Linked DNA regions of Callithrix jacchus. The protein of the gene in region 1 purifies or fractionates together with the protein of each later gene. This does not show direct contact. Links are inferred from orthologs where the notes say so. Each region holds a gene or a part of one and is shown in the gene's direction. Other genes may lie near its edges.

Region 1 (3,940 bases):
TTCCTTCAAGGAAAACGCCACCTATGAAGTATGACTTGAACTTTATAAGCCACATAAAGCAAACATAATAGTTAATAGTACATTTAGTCAAGTCAGAGTTAAATCTTAAATGATACCATATGCAGGATATCAACAGTTCATCCTAAACCTATATTTAAGGGAAATATTTTTTCTAGGATGTAGACTGTAATCTAAGTTAGAATTTCTCTAATTTTGCAGGGGCACGAACCTGTTGAATATAGACCTAATTTACATTTCTAAACAGTAATGCCATTGAAGCCAAAGGCAGGCAGTTTCTTAGCCACACTCTTAGACAAGAGAACAGAAAGCCGGATACACTCTGAGAAAAAGAGGAACATGAATTACAAATGAATGCACGCTAACTCAGCAAGAGTTAATCTTAAGTGTCAATATGGTTTCAGATGGAATCATTGAAAGAAGCAGGATTGAACAAGGGCTCTAAACTGGCAGTGTGTTTTACAATGGATTTTGATAAAATGAAGGAATCCAAAATCATAAAGTAGGTAGGGAGTGGTAGTCCACAGTCCAAAATCTACCCTCTTTTAAAGACCAGCCTCTGGTCCCTCCAAGTGGTCTCCTTCACGTCTCACACTAAGCATCCTTCGAGTACTTTTGAAAAGCCACATTCACCAGAGTGCCTGTGCTTTGTCGTAGCTTCCAAGAAGTTAGCGAGTGAAAGGCTGATTTCCAAGGCGATTCGGGAACCACTGACACTCGCATCGCTCCTGGAAGAGATGCCCACCAGAACCGCGCCCGGGGAGGGCGCCTTCCGCAACGGGAGGGCTCCGCTGTGCATGATCAAAAAGGCCACGGTCACCGGGTGAACACAGACCCCTCAGGCCTCCCGCCTCGCTCTTCTGAGACTGAAGGGTCCGCATGAAAGTCGCCAATGAAATAAAACCACATTCCTGCTGCCGCCGGCGTGGGCTCCCGGGTCGTTGGCCAGGCGGATCGCGCCGAAGCCTTGGCCAGGCCGTGCATGGAGGAGAGGGGGTGGCTGCGTCCCGAGGGAGCCGAGGGCGGCAGGGGAGGGCGGGCCTTGGCCCCGAGTGACGGCGCGGCGGCCCAACCGGCGTGAGAGCGCGGGGCCGGCCTTCCTGCAGCCTCTTCCGCTCGCCCGCTGCGGTGCCTGGGACGGTTGCGGTGGGTCTGGGCGCTGGGAAGTCGTCCAAGATGATTAAAAAATTCGACAAGAAGGACGAGGAGTCTGGTACGCGCGGGGCTTCCGAGGCCTACCCTCAGTCGCGGGCGCCCCATCCCCCGCCCGCCCGCCACCACCTGCTTTCGGGCCGGCGGGGCTGGGGGCGTGGGCTGTGCCAGGGGGCCGGAGCTGGAGCCAGCCCCTCCCCTCCCCTCGCGGCCGCCCGGGGCCTGCCCGTAGCCCCTCCCCCGGGCGCCAGAGCCTTCTTTCCGGCCGCGCGCTCTCGCCCCGGCGCCCGCGCGCGCCCCGACCCCGCCCCTCCCGCGGCGCAGCCCCCTCGGACCCGCCTCCGCCCCTGCGCGCGTCTCCGCGGCAAGGGGTGCGGTAGGGTCTGACCCCGAGTGGGAGAACCCTGTTCCCGGGGCTGGGGTCGACGGCATAGGGTGTGTGTGGAGGAACATTCAGGTTCCTGCTACCTTATAGTTTTCCTGGGGCCCCTGGCTCTGTCCGGTTCCCAGGGGGCGAGACTGTCCCGTGGGACACAGCTTGATGAATCTCAGGCGTCCATAAGTGACCTGCGTCTTGATACCCATCTTTGGTACAGAGCAAATGAGGGAGATGCCAAGCATCCTCAAAAAGAAAAAATTCTCAATATTTGGTAGCAACTCCCATAGTGTGAGACAGGGTTGGGTTAGTCAACCTCCACCGCCCCTTGCAGCTTTACGTCTGCATGATTCTCTGGGAAACTTCGTTTCTGCATCTCAAGTGCTAGAAACACAAAATAGTGCCTAAGGAAATCAAAAGCACCCTACCACAATCTCATTAATCTTCGTTGTCGTGGAAATGACACATTTTTAACATTGATGGAAAAAGAGGGCAGGGAAAGAAGACACTCATTTTGGAGAGGGTTGCTGCAAAAGAAGTCCCTGCTCTTCAAGTATGGCAGTGACAGAGCCAGGATCAAAGTGATTTCATTCAGTTCGTATGCATAGTGGCAATGATTATCACTGTGATATCCCAGTGGTCACCTCCCAAGCATTCAATACCCTTCTCTGGAAAGTATATACGTTTGTGTAGGACAGCTGCTATTCAAACATGTTTTGTTTTATAAATAGGTAGTGGCTCCAACCCTTTCCAGCATCTGGAGAAGAGTGCTGTTTTACAGGAGGTATGACTGGGAAGTATCTTGTGCTCTTTTTTTTCTATTCTGTTTTAGAGTGGTGGGCAGAGAATTCCTGGGCTGCTATGATCACAATATCCAAAATAAGGAACGTAACAGAGGTTAGAGAATACAGATTTGAGGGAAAAGGAAGAGAGGTTACTTGTCACAGAAGAGTCTAGAGCTTGTAGAAATGCAAAGGCATGAAGGCTTTACCACAGGTTGGGAATTTTATGTAAGAAAAGGTGTTTAGTGCAAAGTTATTGAAATCAGTTATCTATAGCTCATTGTGTTAGTATGATATAGATAAGTATTGTGATCCTTATTTAATTTGTATAACCCATAAAGTTGAAGTAGTCTTCCTAATGGAATGAGTTAGAAAGTATAGGATGGACAATCAAGGCCACATTTAATAATTTATCAGATACTTTAGTAAATTGAGAACTATACTCAATATTATTTGGACACTGTGATTAGAAACTATTAAAGTTGATTTGCTATAATCTATGATAGACAAGGTAGGAAAATAAAAATTTCTTGTTTTTTTCATAGGCTCGTATATTCAATGAAACTCCCATCAATCCAAGAAGATGTTTGCATATTCTTACAAAGATTCTTTACTTACTGAACCAGGTAAATTATTTTTTATTTTCCTCAGATAAGTGTGTCCTGGAATAGAAATGCTGAAGATGCAAAGAAATGCTTTCTGGAAAGTATAATTATTTATTTAAATTCACTTAATTTTAACATATACAATGTTTGGTTAAAAAATATGTAAAACTTAGCATGAGGACTATGACATAAACTGGTTGACTCTATCTTATTTGCAATGCTTAGAACCAGAAGTGTTTTGGATTCCAGATTTTTTTTGATTTTGGAATATTTGCAGAATACATACTCATTGAATATTCCTAATCTAAATATTTGAAATCTAGAATGCTCCAATGAGAGTCTTCACTGAGTGTCATATTGGGACTTGAAAAGTTTCTGATTTTGGAGCATTTCAGATTTTGGATTTTGAGATTAGGGATGTTTAACCTGTACTTCTTTCTTATTCATGAGGTCCTAAACCAGTGATGCACATAGTAGATTCTCAATAAATCCTTTGGGTTGAATTTAATGAGTACTAGTTAAAACAAGTTGTTTTAGACTTTAAAAAACTTCATGAAATGTCTAGGGCCTTAGAAAATATGATTTTGTTTCATGGATTCATGTTCCCTCAGTATCAGTGGGGAATTGGTTCCAGGACCTGCATTGGATTCTAAAATCCATAGATGCCCAAGTCCCTCATACGAATGGTGTAGTATTTGCATATAACCACATATCCTCCCATATATTTTAAGTCATCTGTAGATTATAATACCTGGCACAATGTTAGTGCTGTGTAAATAGTTTTTGTGCTGTACTGTTTAGGAAATAATGACAAGAAAAAACTGTCTGTACATGTTCAGTAGAAACACAGTTTGTTTTATTTTCTTGAATATTTTCAATCCGAGGCTGGTTGAATCCACAGATTCAGAACCCGTGGTTATGGAGGGCTAACTGTATAGGTCTATACACATACACATGGACACATAACACATACATATATACCACATACCTCAGGTGGTTTACATATG
Region 2 (3,500 bases), on another chromosome or scaffold:
CTGGAGTCAATGCAGTTGTCAAGAATTGCATTCATTTTTCAGCAGATATTTTATATCTGTAGAGCACTTCACTAAGCATTGACATTGCCTCCTCCTTGTTGAAGAAGAGTTGACCAAAAGCTTACATTAGGATGTTTTTCTCCTCTACTGTTAGGTTAGATTTCCTGGGATGTTTACATTGATCAAATTACCAGAATATTCTCTACTTAGAAAAATACATGATATAAATATGTAGTTACATGCCAATCTCCAAGACAACATTTTTACTTTAATTTAAAAAAATAGATATGAATCTGATGGATAGGTTAGGTTTTAATAGTAATAAATAAGGAATTACTTTCTTTAGAACTACAGTTTTTGAAAGTAAAAGAAAATGATGCCAAGCAGATAATCAAAAGATTTACTGCTTCAGCTCCTTTGAATTACACTAACAAGTGTATTATAATATTGCTACTGTCTGAACCTAAGCAGGTAGCCTTTAGTTCTGGATAAATAAAGAGATGAGCTCAACATATTTACATCTTATAAAATAATTTCATTTGACCAGCAGATGCCTGCAAAGACCAGGCTTTAATTACTTGGAAAAAAACAGGGAAGTCTTAGAATCAAATGGTTTACCTATCTTACTAAGTTTCCCTAAATGTTATACTACCAAATTATAGTATTTTACTATATTTGCTAAATATAGTATATAGTATCTTACCAAATTTACCTATCTTACTAAGTTTCCCTAAATGTTATACTACCAAAATACACAGTAAATAACCAGAAGAGCAGTAGCCTGTTTTCAAGAGCCTGTTGCATTCACAGATTCAAATATTCATTGGATACTGTGCCAATTTCTGTTCTGGTCTCTAGTAATAACTTTTATTTTTCTGAAAAACAGAAGTAATGTGGTATGTAGCACAGCGACCTGAAACAGTTGGAAGGTATTTTGAGAATGATGGGCAGGAGATAGAGGAGTGGGAATTTATCTGGTATTGAGCTGTATGGATTCTGTAGATTTTGAACAGGACATACCTACCTGGCTCACTTTCATCTTAATAATACCACACATTCCACTGGAAGGAGATTCATATGGGTTTATATTTTTTGGTTTTGTTTTGTGTATCCCCTTGGCACGTATTAGGCCTTCAATATCTTTTTAATCAGTTAGAAACTTAAATCTACCTTGTGCCTTCTTGAGTATTCTGAGTAAACAAGCATCCTTCAGAGATGTTTTCAGTTAATAATAGTTTTGACTAGGTACTTGTGAGAGAGGGAGGAGACATGGGCATTAATTTAGATAGGAGAGATACTGTGGAATATTGGTCTCTTTACAAAAAAATTCAGGAGGGCTTTAGGACTTTAGGGGAATTGGTGTAACAGAGAAGAAGCTAAAAGTGGAAGAGATTACAGAGCATGGTGGGGGGAAAGGAGGCCAAAGGTGGTGGTGGTGATTACTGAAATGTAAAAAGTGAAATTACAGGAGACAGCCTGCTTTCCAAATGTGTTGCCTCTAACACCATGGAAGTGCTATGTATCTACAGTATCACAATTTAGATGCTGGGCTTGTTCAGAAAACTAGAAACTTTAGCCTAACAGTTTTTAAAAGTATGCAGTCTACTCCTTTGGTTTCTTTCCAGTTCCTTTCACTCATACAAGAAAGAAAAGAAAGAAAGAAACAATAAACTAGCTACTTGTACCTGCCAAAACTTGTCATTGTCTGTTCTTCCTTTTTTTGTTTCCACTGTTCCCAAACAAAAGCAAAACCCAGTAAACCAATAAAAACCTGTCTTTATCTGTCATCTCTGTTTTGCATATTTAAGGAATATTTTTTCAATTTTTGCTTTTTCTGTTTATGGAAATCTTTAGAATGGATTCTGAAGGCCTACTACTTGAATGATTTTGGCAGATGTTCAAGTACAGGAAAGCTGATGACATTAAAGCACACTTTTCTCTGTAAGATTTCCAAGTAGGAGCAGATATGTGGAGATTTCAGGTATTGGGTTTTTTTTTGTTTTTTAAAGAGCTACCTTTTTTTCAGTTAGGCTTTTTGTCTCCTATCCATATTTTATTTGGAAATCTTGTTTAGGAAACAGCCTTAAAACCTTCTCTATTTTGTATTTACTCTTAAAAATATAACAGTTGTTGAGATCTTGTTTGTGGCATAAGAAAGAATTTGATAAGATTTTGTGTGTTTTTGTGTGATGCTTTTTTGCTTTTGAAAAAACACTTTAGGATTATATTTTAAATAGAGTTTGTTAACTTATTCTTAAATGCTAATAGGTTTCTTTTGTTTTTGAGAAAATAAATGTTTTGGTGCTTTATTCTTCAATATTTTTGACTCTTAACTTTGTAAACTTCCAGAGAATAAACAAACAAAAAACAGTAGGAAAAAGGCATACACACATGCACACTCATATAAAATATCCAGAAACTGAGAGGAAGCAAGTAGAAATAAATCATGTAAGAGACAGGAGAACAGATTGGAGGAATGAACACTGACCTGCCCTTGCCTCCTCTTTTTGTGTAGTAAACTTTTTTCGCTTGATAATTTCTTTCTTATAGGAGATTACCTTTAGTTTGCTTTCTCCTTTAGATGCTGTTTGGATGCCCTGTTTTCTCTGTTTTTAGCCAAGACTACTGATCAGCTTTTTTTGTTGTTGTTGTACAAATAAATATTTTCTTTAAAGTTCTGTCCTCAAGGAACATTATCTAAATTTGCAGTTTGTAGGTAAAGGTTTTTTTTAAAAAATTTCTTGTAATAAATAGTCTCCAGAATAATTGTTGGATTGCCAGAATCCTATGTATTCCCTCTGTGCTATCTGTGTTCATGTAATTATGTACACTTTTGTGTATGTGTCATTTTGTTTTATAGATTATGTTTAATGAAGAACTTGGGAATCCTTTTATCATAATTCATAGTATCTCATTGCTAAATGCTGAAGAACATTCTATAGCTATCCTACTTCTTCGAATAGAGAAAGAGGAATTGGATATGAAAGGAAGTGGTTTCTATGTTTCTCTGGAGTGGGTCACTATTAGTAACAAAAATAAAGGTAAAACAAAATTCTGAAACTCTTTCTATTGGTTGCCATTATTTAGTAGATGTTGAAATGCAAAGCTGTCCCTATAAATGCTGTTTGCTTTTTCTTAGGCATTGTGTTACAATTCTGGCACCTGCCACCACTGGTGGAATGAATATGTATAGATTATTTTTCTTCAGGTATCATTAATAGAAAAAAATTGCAGTGTGCTTCCACAACCAATTATGCCTTTTGTATAAAAAAAAAAAGACATTGTTATATAAGTTTTGAATAATTTAACAGGCATATTTTTAATGCATTCAAAAATATATGCATTTATATGTATAATACACAAAAATTTATAGTATAGTTTACACTAAAACTAAATGTAAATTAATAAATTATAGTATTATTTAAATGTAAATATAAATACGTACTTGGAAATTAATATGTTTATTTTATTAAATTACAAGTATGATTTCTTTTAAATCT
Region 3 (3,500 bases), on another chromosome or scaffold:
ATGCCTCTCTGCGTGTGTGTGTGTGTGTGTGTGTGTGTGTATGTAAATGCTCTTTTCCCTCTGCTCAGTGTGTGGGTTGTTTAGGGAAGGCTTGCTTTATGCTTCTGCATTGCTACTGCATTTGGACTGCAGAAACTTCCAAGTATACTAGGACATACAACCCTATTTTGAAATGGCCTTGTTCAGTGCCTTTTAATTAATCTGGTCACATTCTGTAGCCACCTGTGCATGGGAGAGCAGGAAGGGAGAGGGTAATTTGGAAAATAACTGTACCATAATATTTGGAAATAACAGCATGACCTCTCTTGATTAAGCCCCCTATGAGGCAGAGAAACTGTTTCTCTGATGATACTTTGGAATCCTTTGTTGAAATGTTTTCTCTATCAATTCAGTTTACTTACTCTGGGTCTTTCTCAATGGGAAATATCAAAATCTGACCATGTTGAGGTAAGGGACTTACAGAGGTACCTCTGTATCCCCTTGCAGCCCCAGTGGGATTAGGGGAAGTTATCTGGTTTACCAGTGGTAGTGGGAGCCTTTAGGACTGAAGGTATGTTCATATCTCTTCAGGAACCTTCCCTGTATACTGTCAAAGCCATCCTGATTCTGGACAATGATGGAGATCGACTTTTTGCCAAGGTGAGATTCCCTTTCGAATTAGTTTAGGAACAGCACAAAGTCTTATTCTGAGATTTGAATCTTGGGACTGATCCCCTATTAATTCATGTACCTCAGTAGTATAATTTTGAGAATTCTTTCTTTTTTTTTTGAGACAGAGTCTTGCTCTGTCACCCAGACTGGAGTGCAGTATTACCATCTTGACTTACTGTAACCTCTGCTTCCCAGGTTCAAGCGATTCTCCCACCTCAGCCTCCTGAGTAGCTGGGATTATAGGCGAGTGCCACCATGCCCGGCTAATTTTTTGGTATTTTTAGTAGAGACGGGTTTCACCATGTTGGTCAGGCTGGTCTTAAACTCCTGACCTTGTGGTCTGCCCCCCTCAGCCTCCCAAAGTGCTGGGATTACAGGCAAGAGCCACGGTGCCCGCCTTTTTTTTTTTTTGAGACGGAGTTTTGCTCTTATTGCCCAGGCTGGAGTGCAATGGCATGATTTCAGCTCACTGCAACCTCTGCCTCCCGGGTTCAAGTGATTCTCCTGCCTCAGCCTCCTGAGTAGCTGAGATTACAGGTGCCTGCCACCATGCCCATCTAATTTTTCTATTTTTAGTAGAGACAGGGTTTCACCATGTTGGCCAGGGTAGTTTCGAACTCCTGACCTCAGGCCATCCTGCCCACCTCAGCCTCTCAAAGTGCTGGCATTACAGGCTTGAGCCACTGGGCCTGGCCTGAATTCTTCCATCCTTTCTTGCCTACTCCAGATAAAACCCGAGTTTTCTTTTGTCCCTTAGTTGTACTGCTCCCCTGCTTGCTGTCCTCAGACTTTGACCTCCATTGTTGTCAGCATCAAATTAGGGAAAAGCTTTGAAACTTTGGTTCCTAACAAAGCAGTATGTAGATGCTAAGAGGCAGCCTGCTCATGTCCATCATTCCTGTCCCCTTCCCTTCTACCTTGTCACCCTGCCTGGGTTTTTCCGGAGAATTCTCTTGCAGTCCCAAGGTTCCAGTCCTAGGTCTATAGTCACCATCAAGCTTGTTACCTCCTGACTTTCCCAGAGTGATGTTTCCAACTTTGGATCTGTTGGAAGGAAGAAGAAAGGACACCCCTCTCCTCTCCCTCCATATTCTCCCCCTCCTGTAGACATTCTTTCTGTCCCTGGTGTATTAACTCTGGGCAAGCATAGCATAAATCAATCAGCAGGTAGAGATTAGTTTAGAATTCACCAGCTGTTCCTCCCTGTAATTGGATGTAACTATGCAGGACACCTTTTGAAACAGTTATCCAGTTCCTAAATGCCAGACCTGTCATAGGTCTTCAGCTGACTGCGACGGATTAGCCCCTAAAGAGCTAGCAATTTAGCAGCCTGGATCTCAGCCCCCTTGCCAGGGAGAGCCTGGGAATGGGCTCTGTTGTATGCTGGATGGTTCTTTCAGCTTGCAGAAAAGAAAGCTAAGATAGACCATAGGGCAAGGTTTGCCTTTCTTTGGAGGAGGTTTTTGTAGCCTTTCTCCATTCCTCAGCTTCATACAGTGAGTGAGGGTCTAAGGAAGTGTTCTGTGCTTCTGGTGTTTTTTGTGTTCTCTGGCACTGCTCCCTGCCATGCAGTAGCTCCTGGGAAACACTTGATGAGAATACCCTTAGGAGAGCTCTAGACTGCACACAGGCACAGAGCCTCACCGTAGGGCTGGTAGGCTTCTGCCCTCAGACAGTCTTAAACATGTGAGGAGGGTTGCTTATGGCAGGGTCTTTTATGTATTTTCTTAGATTACTCACTACCCATTCTCTGCCTCTATAGTCCTTCCTTTTCCATGTCAGTATTTCTCCCTTGCCCCATGCCTTGAAAGAGAGAAATCCAAGATCCCAGGGCAAAATATAGTCACTAATCATTCTGAGCTTCCAGCTCTAGTGACCCAACCCTGTCTCCTTTCCCTCTGACCAGTACTATGACGACACCTACCCCAGTGTCAAGGAGCAAAAGGCCTTTGAGAAGAACATTTTCAACAAGACCCATCGGACTGACAGTAGGTCATTTTCCTTTCACTACTCCTCATGTTGGGGGGAACCATGGTGGGAAGCGGGTGGTAGCAGGGCTGCAGAGAAAGGATGAAATGACTCTGCCTCCTTTTCCTTTTTTTTCTTCCTCCCCTTGTATAATAAACTCTTCAGAAATGTAATGGGGAGGTGAGTGTACCTCACGCGGGAATACCGTGCTGGAAGGTTGGCTGTTAGCTACCTGTCTAGTTCCTGGATTTATGAGCCTCACTTGACAAATTTAACTGCAGCTCTGCTTATTGTACCGCATCCATTAGGGCAGGTAAATGGAAGTCTGTAAAGGTGACCGCTCTGCATTTTCACCTCCGAAGGATCGACTGGTATCCTGTCTCACATACAACAAGGAGGGAAATAGGTATAGTGGGCAGGAGCAGAGGATGATGGTTAGAGAAGATACATTAGACTCCCCCAAGTTTATACTTCTCTTCTCCTGCCATCACCCAAAAAGTGCAGATCATCTATCTTTGGAGGTCATTATAGTCGATTACAGTCAGCCTCACCTTAGCCCAAAACAGCTGGATACTAGGCATTCATGGGAACTCTTTTTTTTTTTTGAGACGGAGTCTGTCTCTCTCTCTCTCACCCAGACTGGAGTGCAGTGGCTCACTGCAACCTCTGCCTCCCAAGTTCAGTCGATTCTCCCATGTCAGCCTCTCAAGTAGCAGGGATTACAGGTGCATGTCACCATGCTGGCTAATTTTTGTGTTTTTAATAGAGATGGGGTTTCATCATATTGCCCAGGCTGGTCTTGAACTCCTGACCTCAGGTGATCTGCCCACCTCAACCTCCCAAAGTGTTGGGATTACAGGCATGTGCCACCACGCCTGGCT
Region 4 (3,500 bases), on another chromosome or scaffold:
CTTCGTCACCAAACTTCACTCTGGAAGGACATGAGAAAGGCGTCAATTGCATTGATTACTACAGTGGTGGGGACAAACCATACCTCATTTCAGGTGCAGATGACCGTCTTGTTAAAATATGGGATTATCAGGTACAATTTTTCATAACCTCCTATATGTTAGATATGTCTCTTACTACTTCTTATAGGACAGTTAAGACTTGGGTTGTTGAAATCTGTTCACAGCATAATAACTTAAAGTATCAGTATTTGCACCTAAACTATGTTCCCAGATTTCTCCATAAAAATGAAAACAATGCATATCAAGATTTTAAAAATAAAATATCAGCATGTTCATATTTCATTTCATAACAGCATTTAGAAATTTTAACATTTTAATGTTGAATTTTCCTCCATAATCTTCATTCTTATTTGTAAGCCAGCAGATCAACAAATACCAATCATTTTGCCACATAGAACTCTTGTAAACCTAGTTATAACTCTTAACATGCTTCCTATCCCTAAGATTTTCTTATATTTTGATATTTTTTTCACAACAAAAGTTCTCATAAGCAATTAATAAAATGAGGCCTAGAAAGTCAGTTTTACCTTGAAATATTTTCAAATTTGTACTTATTCAGAATAAAAATATTAAATGCTAAAGCAGTACAGTCTAATTAGCCAGTGATAGTTGGTGTGAGTTTTAAGGGGAAAATCCATTATCCTGAGAATTTGGGGGAATAATATTCAGATGAAAGCCTGCTTGGTTTTTTCCCCCCTATTTAAATATGATAGTTATATTTACATTTATTTTATAAAATAATTAGATAAAATATATGTAAAACAAGATCATCCTATTTCAAAAATATCTGTATTGGATATTATTTAGATTGTCATAACTAATTACCATCATTTATAATGTATCTACACATTGAGAAATTTAAGGTTGGTCTGGTTACATGGTTTTCACTAATAAATGTTTTCTATTTCTTAATTACAGAATAAAACATGTGTGCAGACATTGGAAGGACATGCCCAAAATGTGTCTTGTGCCAGCTTTCATCCTGAGTTGCCAATTATTATTACAGGTTCAGAAGATGGTAAGTTAGAAGGGTATGTTTATTCCCTGTGTTGCTAACTACTGAGTGGGCATTTAAAGCAAGTAATGTCTCTGCATTGTAATTGGAGATTTCCAAGGATTTTGATTGAAGTACTAGACTTAAGCTATAAACAAAAGAGTAAAGGGACATTATTTTCATTAGCATCATTATTACCATTCTCATGTATTTTGATTTTGTCACTTAAATAAGAGGACCATCAGATGTCCTAGAGAAAAATTGAAAAAGCATGTGCTTTGGAGTCAAACAAACCTGTCAGGCTGTTACTTCATGAATGTGTGGTTTGGGCAAATTATGAAATGGAAACACATATATCCACTTCATAGGATTATAGTGAGAAGAAATCATGTGTAGAAAGCATCTGGCACATAGGAAATACTCTACCCAGAAAATCCGGTTATTATTTCATGTTTAAAATTGTAAGTCTTAGGTTTTGTTTCTTATATGTTGTCTGTTGTTAGTTTATGTTGCTTTTTAAAATCATTTAAAGACAGGAGATCAAAAAATTGGTCGTTAAACTGCCGGGAAGTGTTATCTTTTTGAATAGAAAGACTTCCATGGGTGTCTTACCTGACACAGTTTATTGTCAGATGTTTGTATCAAAAGGGAATATTTACATTGTTCTTTTTAGGAACAGTACGTATTTGGCATTCAAGCACCTACCGGCTAGAGAGCACACTGAATTATGGAATGGAGAGGGTATGGTGCGTGGCCAGTCTAAGAGGGTCCAACAATGTCGCTTTGGGCTATGATGAAGGGAGCATCATTGTTAAGGTAATTAAACTATCCCTCTCAGTAGGTGGGCATAGGCAAAGACATTTTCTTTGTATTTTAATATTGTCATCTTCCAATTCACCAGTTTTGTAAAACTGGCACTTCTTTGATTAAGCACTAGACATTAAGCAATGAAGATTTAAAGTGGAAGAAAGGAAATAGAGCTCTCTGTGAGGTGAAAAATAATCTGTTTTATTATGGTTTTATTCATTTTTCTTTTCTTTTTTTTTTTTTTTTTGAGACAGGGTCTTGCTCTGTCACTAGGCTGGAGTGCAGTGGTGCAATCTTGGCTTGTTGCAGACTCTGCCTCCTCGGTTCAAGCGATTCTCCTGCCTCAGCCTCCCAAGTTGCTGGGGACTACTACACCCAGCTAATTTTTGTAATTTTAGTAGAGATGGGGTTTCACCGTGTTGGCCAGGATGGTCTTGATCTCTTGACCTCGTGATCCTCCCGTCTTGGCCTCCGAAAGTGCTGTGATTACAGGCGTGAACCACTGTGCCTGGCTTCATTTTCCTTTTCATTGCTGAGAGCTATTTGTCTTTCTTTCAGCTTGGTCGGGAGGAACCTGCAATGTCCATGGATGCCAATGGAAAGATAATTTGGGCCAAGCATTCAGAAGTCCAGCAGGCCAACCTAAAGGCAATGGGAGATGCTGAAATTAAAGATGGAGAAAGATTGCCACTGGCAGTAAAGGATATGGGCAGTTGTGAAATATACCCTCAGACTATTCAGCACAATCCTAATGGGCGGTAAGCCATCACCAAAATTTGTCTCTCAGCTTCTGTGTATGTTAGAACAGGTTTGCAGATCCACAGTCCACTCTTAACTTGTGGTTGGCATCTCTGATCATTCCTCTGTGTGCTTTTGCCCTGGCCCCACAATTCTCAGCACAGCTATAGGTAGCCATGCTAGTCGAACAAGTTGGCATGAAAGATAGAGCATGTTTGCCCTCCTGGCCTTGTTCTATACCACACAATTTTGAATAGTTAAATAGTACTATTTACTGTTATTTCACATGCATTGAGTTTGTGTTCTTGTGTGCTCCTTTGAGGGCAAGGAGTATGTCTTATGCTGAGACTTGGTAGGTGCCCTCTCTAAATGCTTGCTGACTTACTGCTCTTAAGAAGAAAACCTGACTCTGAGATGTGTGTCTTTTGAAAAAGTTTTGCGATTGGTAATAATTCTGTTTCTTATGTGTAATTTGAACTGTTAGTTGAACTTCTCCCTTAAGATTTGTAAGTCACCAAACATCTGGTGAGAGAAGAGTTTCTAGCACAGTTAAGTCTAAACCTGTGGAGCTTTAAATATTATTTTACAATAGATCTGGGCATCTTGTAATGCTGTCCTGAGTATTGAAAAAGACAAAAGATAAAACCAAGTATGCCGCCTAGTTCAGTAAATGGTATTCATAATTATTTGTAACATAATAGTCTTATGAAGGTTAAGAATGCATTAGGAGTATTTCCCTTAATATCGTAAAACATTCTTTGCCATAAGTTTTGCCTTTGGCAGTCTTTTGATACCAGCCTTTACAGTGTTATAAATAACTTTAAAGAGAGTTGTTTTAAAGCCATTGGGAAAATTTTAGTTGACTATGCAGCATTGTGTTGTTTTTTTTTTTTTTTTTTGA
Region 5 (3,500 bases), on another chromosome or scaffold:
TCATTTGATTATGTCTTTATTTTTGTTTTGACAGGTCACCCAGTTGACAGGTTTCTCAGATCCTGTATATGCAGAAGCTTACGTTCATGTCAACCAATATGATATTGTCCTGGATGTACTTGTTGTGAACCAAACCAGTGATACTTTGCAGAATTGCACATTAGAATTAGCTACACTAGGTGAGGAAATTTACCATTGAGGAAAGATGTTGTCACATAGTACATCTTTATGACAGATTAGGGGAGGTGCACAGGTTTCAGTATAAAAATTCTTTCTTGAACCTTTATTGACATTTTGAACCAAGGCTTAGTTTTTCATTACCATTTAGTTTCCTTCAACTCCAGTTTTTTGAACCTCTGTCATACTGACTTTCTTATGCTCTTGGCACATTCAGATGGATTCATTTAATAAGCTTAAACTAGCGAATGTCAGTCTTTCTAGACATAATTAGAGCTATTTAAGTCACAGATTGAGCAGGTGGCTCACTTAAATTTCTGATTGCCTCATTACAAAACTAAGTATTTTCTGAATGCATAACTGTTAGATACCACATGTGACCAAAGTAATAAATCATATCACATTTAGCAACATGAGATGTATTTTTTTTTTCTTAATAAAGGCATGTGAATCAGACTGCTCACTTCCACATCTGGTTTTGAAGTTGGAAAATGTAAATTGTATGTGAGAACAGTGCAGTGCCCCCATCAAATTTCATATGGCTTATGCAAGAGTTAAGGAACTTCAAGATATCAAGGGGAAAACAAGAAACTGTTAAGCTACATACATTTTAAGGTTTTATGGGTGTGTGTGTGTAGAAAAAAAATACATCTCATGTTGCTAAATGTGATATATGTATATATATTTTAACCGTATCCAAACTCTTTCTTTTAGGGGATCTGAAACTTGTGGAAAAGCCATCTCCTTTGACTCTTGCTCCTCATGATTTCGCAAATATTAAAGCTAATGTCAAAGTAGCATCAACAGAAAATGGAATAATTTTTGGTAATATAGGTAAGGTGCTGTTTCATGGCATGTAATGTGTGAATATTTTTACTAAAGAATTTCTATAGTGACTAGCTGGGGACGTTGTATGAGGACATTTATTCTTAATTTATGAGGCACTCTCTATGGTACCAGGCATTGTAGTATGTTCTGGATGTACAAAAATGAACCAGTTAGGGTCACTGTCCTCAAGAAACTGTCAGGCAAAAGGAGATGGGTAAGGAAATATATAATTATAGTCCAATGTGATACAGGATGGTTTATATACTGTATGCTTTGAGGTGAAGAAAAAACAATGCTAACAGCATGGAAGGCTTTCTAAAGGAAGATGCTATGTTATCAAAGGGTAATATTTTACCTGAGTCATTTGTTACTAGGCGCACAAGGGCATTTCCGACCTAGGGATTAGCTTGTATAGAGTCATTCAGTCAATAAGCTTATTTTGTTGCAATTTCTGTCATAAGGATAGGGCTGCCATGGTGAGGAAAAAATGATAGATTGTGTTCGTGTAAGGGAAAGCTGATATATAAAATAGATACGTGCAATAAGTAATGGTAAGTGCTATGAAAAAAAAAAGCCTGTACTAAGTAAGGTAGGAATCTGTAAAGGGATTTGGTCAATTGTCAGAGTGTTGGGGATTGGGGAAAAAGGTTAGAAAAAGATTTCTTGGAGGAGCTAGTGCTCAGTAGAACACTACACATAGACGATGATGCAATTAGAACAAATGCAAGTGATTCGATATACTTGGAGTTTAGAATGGGTTGGAGAATGGTGGCAAGAAAAAAATGAAGTTAGGAAGGTTAGCAGGATAACTAACCTTCCTATTTTATTTGTCATGCTAAGGATTTCAGACTTTATCATTGAGCCAATTATAAATGAGTGGCTTATAACATTATATCTTTCTATGACAGTACTATAGAAGATTGATTGGAAGAGGCAGGAATATTAACTAGTAGACTATTACAGAAGCCCAAGTGAGAGATGCAAGAGGACTTGAGCCAACCCAGTAGTGGAATGGAGAGAAGGATGAATATTTTGTTAAGGGTATGGTTAGTGGTGGAACAAGTGGCTGGAGTAACCCTCAGATTTCCAGATTGAGTTTTTTGGGTTGTTTATGTCATTACCAAAACAGGTTATACAGGAGAGAAGAACAAACTTTAGAAAGACATAATAGGTTAAATTTTGAGCAGGTTCAGTATTCAAGGGCAGTTTGATGTGAGTCTGGGACTCAAAGAAGAGGTCTAAATGAGAGACAGACCAGGCGCGGTTACTCACATCTGTAATCTCAGCACTTTGGGAGACCGGGGGGGGGGATTACCTGAGGTCAGGAGTTCGAGATCAGCCTGGCCAACATGGCAAAACCCTGTCTCTACTAAAAATATAAAATTAGTTGGGCATGGTGGTGCACACCTGTAGTCCCAGCTACTTGGGAGGCTGAGGCAGGTGAATAGCTTGAACCGGGAGGCAGAGGTTGCAGCGAGCTGAGATCGCATCATTGCACTCCAGCCTGGATGACAGAGCAAGGCTCTGTCTCATTGTTTAAAAGCCACAGGAATAGAAGAAATCACCCACAGAGGGCATAAAGACTAAAAAGAGGGGAGATCTGAAAACAGAATCCAAGCAAACAGCAGTACTGAAAGCTTGGTCAGAGGAGAAAGAGCCTACAAAGATATCTGAAGTATGGTTAGAAAAGTAAGGAAAAACCTTCAGGAAGTATTTGAAGCTGCACAGGATCAAATAACTAGTTAATAAAGTCTGAAAGAGAGGTCTTTTGGATTTGGCTATTAGGGATTTTAAAACGTTTATTGTGGGACATCTTGAGCATTGGTGGTAGGTCGAAGACTAAATAGGAGATGAAGAAATAAAGGTAGTGTAGACTATTCTGAGTGTAGGAACTTGGCTTTTTTTTATTGAGATGGAGTTTCACTCTTGTTACCCAGGCTGGAGTGCAATGGCACGATCTCGGCTCACTGCAACCTCCGCCTCCTGGGTTCAGACAATTCTCCTGCCTCAGCCTCCTGAGTAGCTGGGATTACAGGCACACGCCACCATGCCCAGCTAATTTTTGTATTTTTTGTAGAGATGGGGTTTCACCATGTTGACCAGGATGGTCTCGATCTCTTGATCTCGTCTTCCACCCGCCTCGGCCTCCCGAAGTGCTGGGATTACAGGCTTGAGCCACCACACCCGGCCAGAAATTTAGCTTTAATTAGGAATAGAAAAGGGTAGTACCAAGAAGAGAAGGCAAGAATGGGTGAGGATTTATTTTTTGAAGATAAGGACAAGCTTGAGTATATTTGTAGACTATAAGGGAAGAAAGTTGGTAGAGAATGGGAAGGTAAAGATGTAAAAATGAAAGAGATAATGATTGGAATGGGGTCCTGGACCAAAGCAAGGATCACAGATGGCAGAAAGTATTAATCTTCTTCTTTTTTTTTTTTTTTTTTTTTTTTTTAATAAGAGTTTAAATCAGATATTTTCTCAGGAAAGTTAAAAGT
Region 6 (3,500 bases), on another chromosome or scaffold:
CTGACACAGTGATCACTTAGAGACTCAAATCAGGTAGGTTTCAGTTGTCATAAACATTGAGCATTTGTGAACTGCCTATCTTTCATGAAGCTGAACTTAATGGAGCATCAGGATGAATGGAGCATCAGGACCCAGATCACTAGAAATAATTTGAGAGAATGTTTAGACTCTTTACATCCTATGGAAAGAAAATGGTTACCTTGATCCCTTCCTCTGAGTGAAAATAGAAGAACTTGGCCAGGGCGCGGTGGCTCAAGCCTGTAATCCCAGCACTTTCGGAGGCCGAGGCGGGTGGATCACGAGGTCAAGAGATTGAGACCATCCTGGTCAACATGGTGAAACCCCGTCTCTACTAAAAATACAAAAAATTAGCTGGGCGTGGTGGCACATGCCTGTAATCCCAGCTACTCAGGAGGCTGAGGCAAGAGAATTGCCTGAACTCAGGAGGTGGAGGTTGTGGTGAGCCGAGATTGTGCCACTGCACTCCAGCCTGGGTAGCAAGAGCGAAACTCCGTCTCAAAAAAAAAACAGAAAATAGAAGAACTGTGATTTTGAGAAGGAGTTCGTTTCATCATCAAAGAGTCCTCTCTGTTTCTTGTAACAGAATTTGGGGGAAAAAAAAGGAAATGACATTCTAATTTTAGTACCCTGGTGGCCAAGTTAAAAGGATTGAAGTTGTATGTCTTTCCTCATATAACTATATTATCCAATCTGTTCTTCTTTAATACTTAGCAGTCCATATTCTGACAGTTTTCTCTGGTTTTTTCTTTTTCTTCTTTTTCCAATAAATAGTTGTATTCCTATAGTGTCTTTTCTTTGATGTCTTTTTTTTTCTTTCCAGCAGTTGAGTACTCAGTTGATGGGTACTCAGGGTGGGGCGCCAGAATATCAGGGTCCTAGACTGTTTATTTATGGATTAGAGAGCAATTCTTACTTTCATTCAAATAATACCTGCATCTTTGGAAGAAAAAGAAAATAAAGTGACATCAGTGTCTAGTTGTTTGGCAAAGAGCCCTATAATTCTTAGATGTAGAAACAGTCAAATAAATGCCCTCTGGGTGAAGAGTAAGAAAAGTATGGTTTCAGATTGCAGTCTGTGCATTGGGTCTGTTTTCTCTGTCAGAGTAAACTGGAAAACTGGTGTCTTGGGTCCTTCTCACTAACATTTTAATTTCCCCTTTTCCTCTACAGAGAGCCAGCAATTTGGAGAATAGTACCTATGACCTGTACACCATCCCTAAGGATGCTGACTCCCAGAATCCTGATGGTAGGTATTCTTTTTGTCTACCCCACTCTGCTTCCAGCTCTCTTCACCCACATCATCTCTCCTCTTCAAGTTTTTCACATTCCATCCCCAAGCCATGGCCACATCACTCATGTCTGTTGGCAGGTGCTGCTGACAATTGCATCAGAGGCGACCATGGTGTGAAATATTCATGTTCCTCCACCATTTTATTACCCCAGCTAGATATATATATTTTATAATTTGGTTATTAGAAACTCTCCATTTTCTCTTTCAGCACAGCATGTTATCCTAGTTTATTGTCAGTTGATATGACTTTCACCCTGGTAGTTTCATTTATTTAAAAATGTGGTTCCAATCTTACAATGTCTCACCCAGGGACTAGGGATTTATACTCCCCCATCCATATCCAGATTCGATCTGCTTCCTTTTGCATGTCAAAAAGATGAGGCTGCTAACAGCCCCACACCCCACCTGGGATCCCAGGATCCAGCTGAGACTCCTGCCTGCCTCTTCCATCACCACCATCCCTTGTTGCTGTCCTTGTGACTAGAACTTGCTGACAAAACATTCTCGGAATGGATTTGATTATTGTCTAGGCGCCTTTCCGTGCACTTCCTCCAGCAGGTTTATGGCTAGTACCAGGTCAAAGATTTATTCTGCAGATCCTTACTCTTACCAGCATACTTTCATAGTTTAGATGCCATCAGCAGATTCCTGAGAAATAATTTGTTAGCTCTTTTTCTTTTGTGGGTGCCTCTGGGTTATCATTGTTGCTAATCGATTTCCTCTCTTTTAAATGTGTTAATAGTGAGAGAAAGAAAACATATTTGTATTTGGTATTTATAAGTCAAATTCTTCCTTATAAGTCAGTTAAGCCATTTCTGACTAAATCTTATGATTTGGTACCTCTCAACTCAGCCCTTTGCTTTTTTTCCCCATCTATGTTTACAATTAATAGAATTTAAAATATTTTGTTTTATTACCACTTTTATTTTCTGTACTTCATTTTTTGAGAAAGGTGGGCAACAGAGATGGGCTTGAATGTTGCAGTTTCCTGGCCCCTGGAAAATGGGAGTGTTGGCTTTGATAATAATTAGTTTTGTAAATTGCCTACCATTCCAGATGCCAGGGGCGAGACTGGCCAGTATGTTTTGTCCAGTCTTCTGCTGGTGTCATACGTAAATGAGTATTTTGATGCACCCTTCTATTTATCCTTCTACAAGTTTCCCAGATAATGGAGTGTCCATTTCAAAATTCTAATAAGCCACTGAACTGAGGAACATTTTGTAACTCTCTTCAGGGTGATAAGAATGTTCAGTTGACATTTACAGAGCAACAGCTTTGTTCTAAATACTGCCCAGCACCAAGCTCTCTTGTCAAGATTGAGTTGGGAGTGCTCTGCCCCACCCTGCCCTACTAGGAAGTCTACATTTGCATGTTAAAAGCAGCCGAGCAGCTGCATCCTGGGGAGGGGGTCCTATGACACAGGCTCGCTTTGCCGCAGCTTGGCCAGGGAGGCTCTGCTCGTTAGCTTGATGTAGCGTGCTGTCTCCCAAGATGGGCGGCCCTTCTGCCAGTACATGATGTTGGCTGAAATGCAGCCACTTGGCCTAGAGAAAAGAGCCTTGGCAGAAGTGGTGGTTGTTTGGAGGGGACTGGTGGGGAAAAGTCACTCAACAATAGCCCCAGGTTATGGCTGAATTCGTTAGGAAGGAGCTCAACTGGCAAAGCCAAGATGGCATCCAGCAAGACTGGCAGCTCCGTGGCATCCGACTATGTCACCTGCCAGTGACTCACCACATGCTCCCACCCTTTGGTTTTGTTCTTCTCAGCCCCTGAAGGGAAACGATCCTCAGGCCTGACAGCCGTTTGGGTCGCTCGAAATCGATTTGCTGTCCTAGATCGGATGCATTCGGTGAGTTAAGACTAAAAGCAGAAACTAATTTGAGGGTGTGGTGGCAATGGCCTGTGTATTGCAGAATAAAGACCACTGTTTTTTCTGCTCTCCCCTAGGCAGCCATGATTCTCATGCATTGGCTATACTTTTGTCTCTAGCCCTACATACACTAAGCCCTCTTGGGGGAAAGGGATTAAAACTGATTTGATTGTGTTGATGATCGCTGTGGCTCTGGGTTTAAGAATGAAGCTAAAGTCACTCTTGCCTATAGGAGCCCAGAATGCATCAAATCTGAAGTGAGTGGGCTGGATGAGGAGATCTCCCTCCTTGTTCTGCTGCCTCCATTGTTACTTGAAA

What was found. Proteins that work in one complex are often made in the same cells at the same time.
Region 2: the proteins of COPG2 (region 1) and NUDCD1 purify together in Homo sapiens (co-immunoprecipitation; 3 studies listed by BioGRID and IntAct, with this or other methods). This does not show direct contact. The link is inferred for Callithrix jacchus from reciprocal best matches to the Homo sapiens genes COPG2 and NUDCD1.
Region 3: the proteins of COPG2 (region 1) and COPZ1 fractionate together in Homo sapiens (co-fractionation; 5 studies listed by BioGRID and IntAct, with this or other methods). This does not show direct contact. The link is inferred for Callithrix jacchus from reciprocal best matches to the Homo sapiens genes COPG2 and COPZ1.
Region 4: the proteins of COPG2 (region 1) and COPB2 fractionate together in Homo sapiens (co-fractionation; 4 studies listed by BioGRID and IntAct, with this or other methods). This does not show direct contact. The link is inferred for Callithrix jacchus from reciprocal best matches to the Homo sapiens genes COPG2 and COPB2.
Region 5: the proteins of COPG2 (region 1) and COPB1 purify together in Homo sapiens (affinity purification with western blotting; 4 studies listed by BioGRID and IntAct, with this or other methods). This does not show direct contact. The link is inferred for Callithrix jacchus from reciprocal best matches to the Homo sapiens genes COPG2 and COPB1.
Region 6: the proteins of COPG2 (region 1) and COPA fractionate together in Homo sapiens (co-fractionation; 4 studies listed by BioGRID and IntAct, with this or other methods). This does not show direct contact. The link is inferred for Callithrix jacchus from reciprocal best matches to the Homo sapiens genes COPG2 and COPA.

Annotation. Positions count from the first base shown.
Region 1 is NC_133512.1:116,571,333-116,575,272, forward strand, and holds the start of COPG2 (coatomer subunit gamma-2), read left to right. Parts: upstream 1-1,140; 5' UTR 1,141-1,194; coding exon 1,195-1,231; intron 1,232-1,412; exon of another isoform or gene 1,413-1,605; intron 1,606-2,277; coding exon 2,278-2,330; intron 2,331-2,873; coding exon 2,874-2,954; intron 2,955-3,940. Other genes in the region: TSGA13 (testis-specific gene 13 protein), read left to right, coding at 676-845. UniProt on the Homo sapiens protein: The coatomer is a cytosolic protein complex that binds to dilysine motifs and reversibly associates with Golgi non-clathrin-coated vesicles, which further mediate biosynthetic protein transport from the ER, via the Golgi up to the trans Golgi network.
Region 2 is NC_133517.1:87,735,612-87,739,111, forward strand, and holds part of NUDCD1 (nudC domain-containing protein 1), read left to right. Parts: intron 1-2,860; coding exon 2,861-3,041; intron 3,042-3,500.
Region 3 is NC_133510.1:65,209,546-65,213,045, reverse strand, and holds part of COPZ1 (coatomer subunit zeta-1), read left to right. Parts: intron 1-570; coding exon 571-639; intron 640-2,557; coding exon 2,558-2,639; intron 2,640-3,500. UniProt on the Homo sapiens protein: The coatomer is a cytosolic protein complex that binds to dilysine motifs and reversibly associates with Golgi non-clathrin-coated vesicles, which further mediate biosynthetic protein transport from the ER, via the Golgi up to the trans Golgi network.
Region 4 is NC_133518.1:45,030,737-45,034,236, forward strand, and holds part of COPB2 (coatomer subunit beta'), read left to right. Parts: coding exon 1-131; intron 132-978; coding exon 979-1,078; intron 1,079-1,727; coding exon 1,728-1,870; intron 1,871-2,419; coding exon 2,420-2,619; intron 2,620-3,500. UniProt on the Homo sapiens protein: The coatomer is a cytosolic protein complex that binds to dilysine motifs and reversibly associates with Golgi non-clathrin-coated vesicles, which further mediate biosynthetic protein transport from the ER, via the Golgi up to the trans Golgi network.
Region 5 is NC_133511.1:80,328,740-80,332,239, reverse strand, and holds part of COPB1 (coatomer subunit beta), read left to right. Parts: intron 1-34; coding exon 35-179; intron 180-891; coding exon 892-1,011; intron 1,012-3,500. UniProt on the Homo sapiens protein: The coatomer is a cytosolic protein complex that binds to dilysine motifs and reversibly associates with Golgi non-clathrin-coated vesicles, which further mediate biosynthetic protein transport from the ER, via the Golgi up to the trans Golgi network.
Region 6 is NC_133519.1:20,256,403-20,259,902, reverse strand, and holds part of COPA (coatomer subunit alpha), read left to right. Parts: intron 1-1,191; coding exon 1,192-1,267; intron 1,268-3,078; coding exon 3,079-3,161; intron 3,162-3,500. UniProt on the Homo sapiens protein: The coatomer is a cytosolic protein complex that binds to dilysine motifs and reversibly associates with Golgi non-clathrin-coated vesicles, which further mediate biosynthetic protein transport from the ER, via the Golgi up to the trans Golgi network.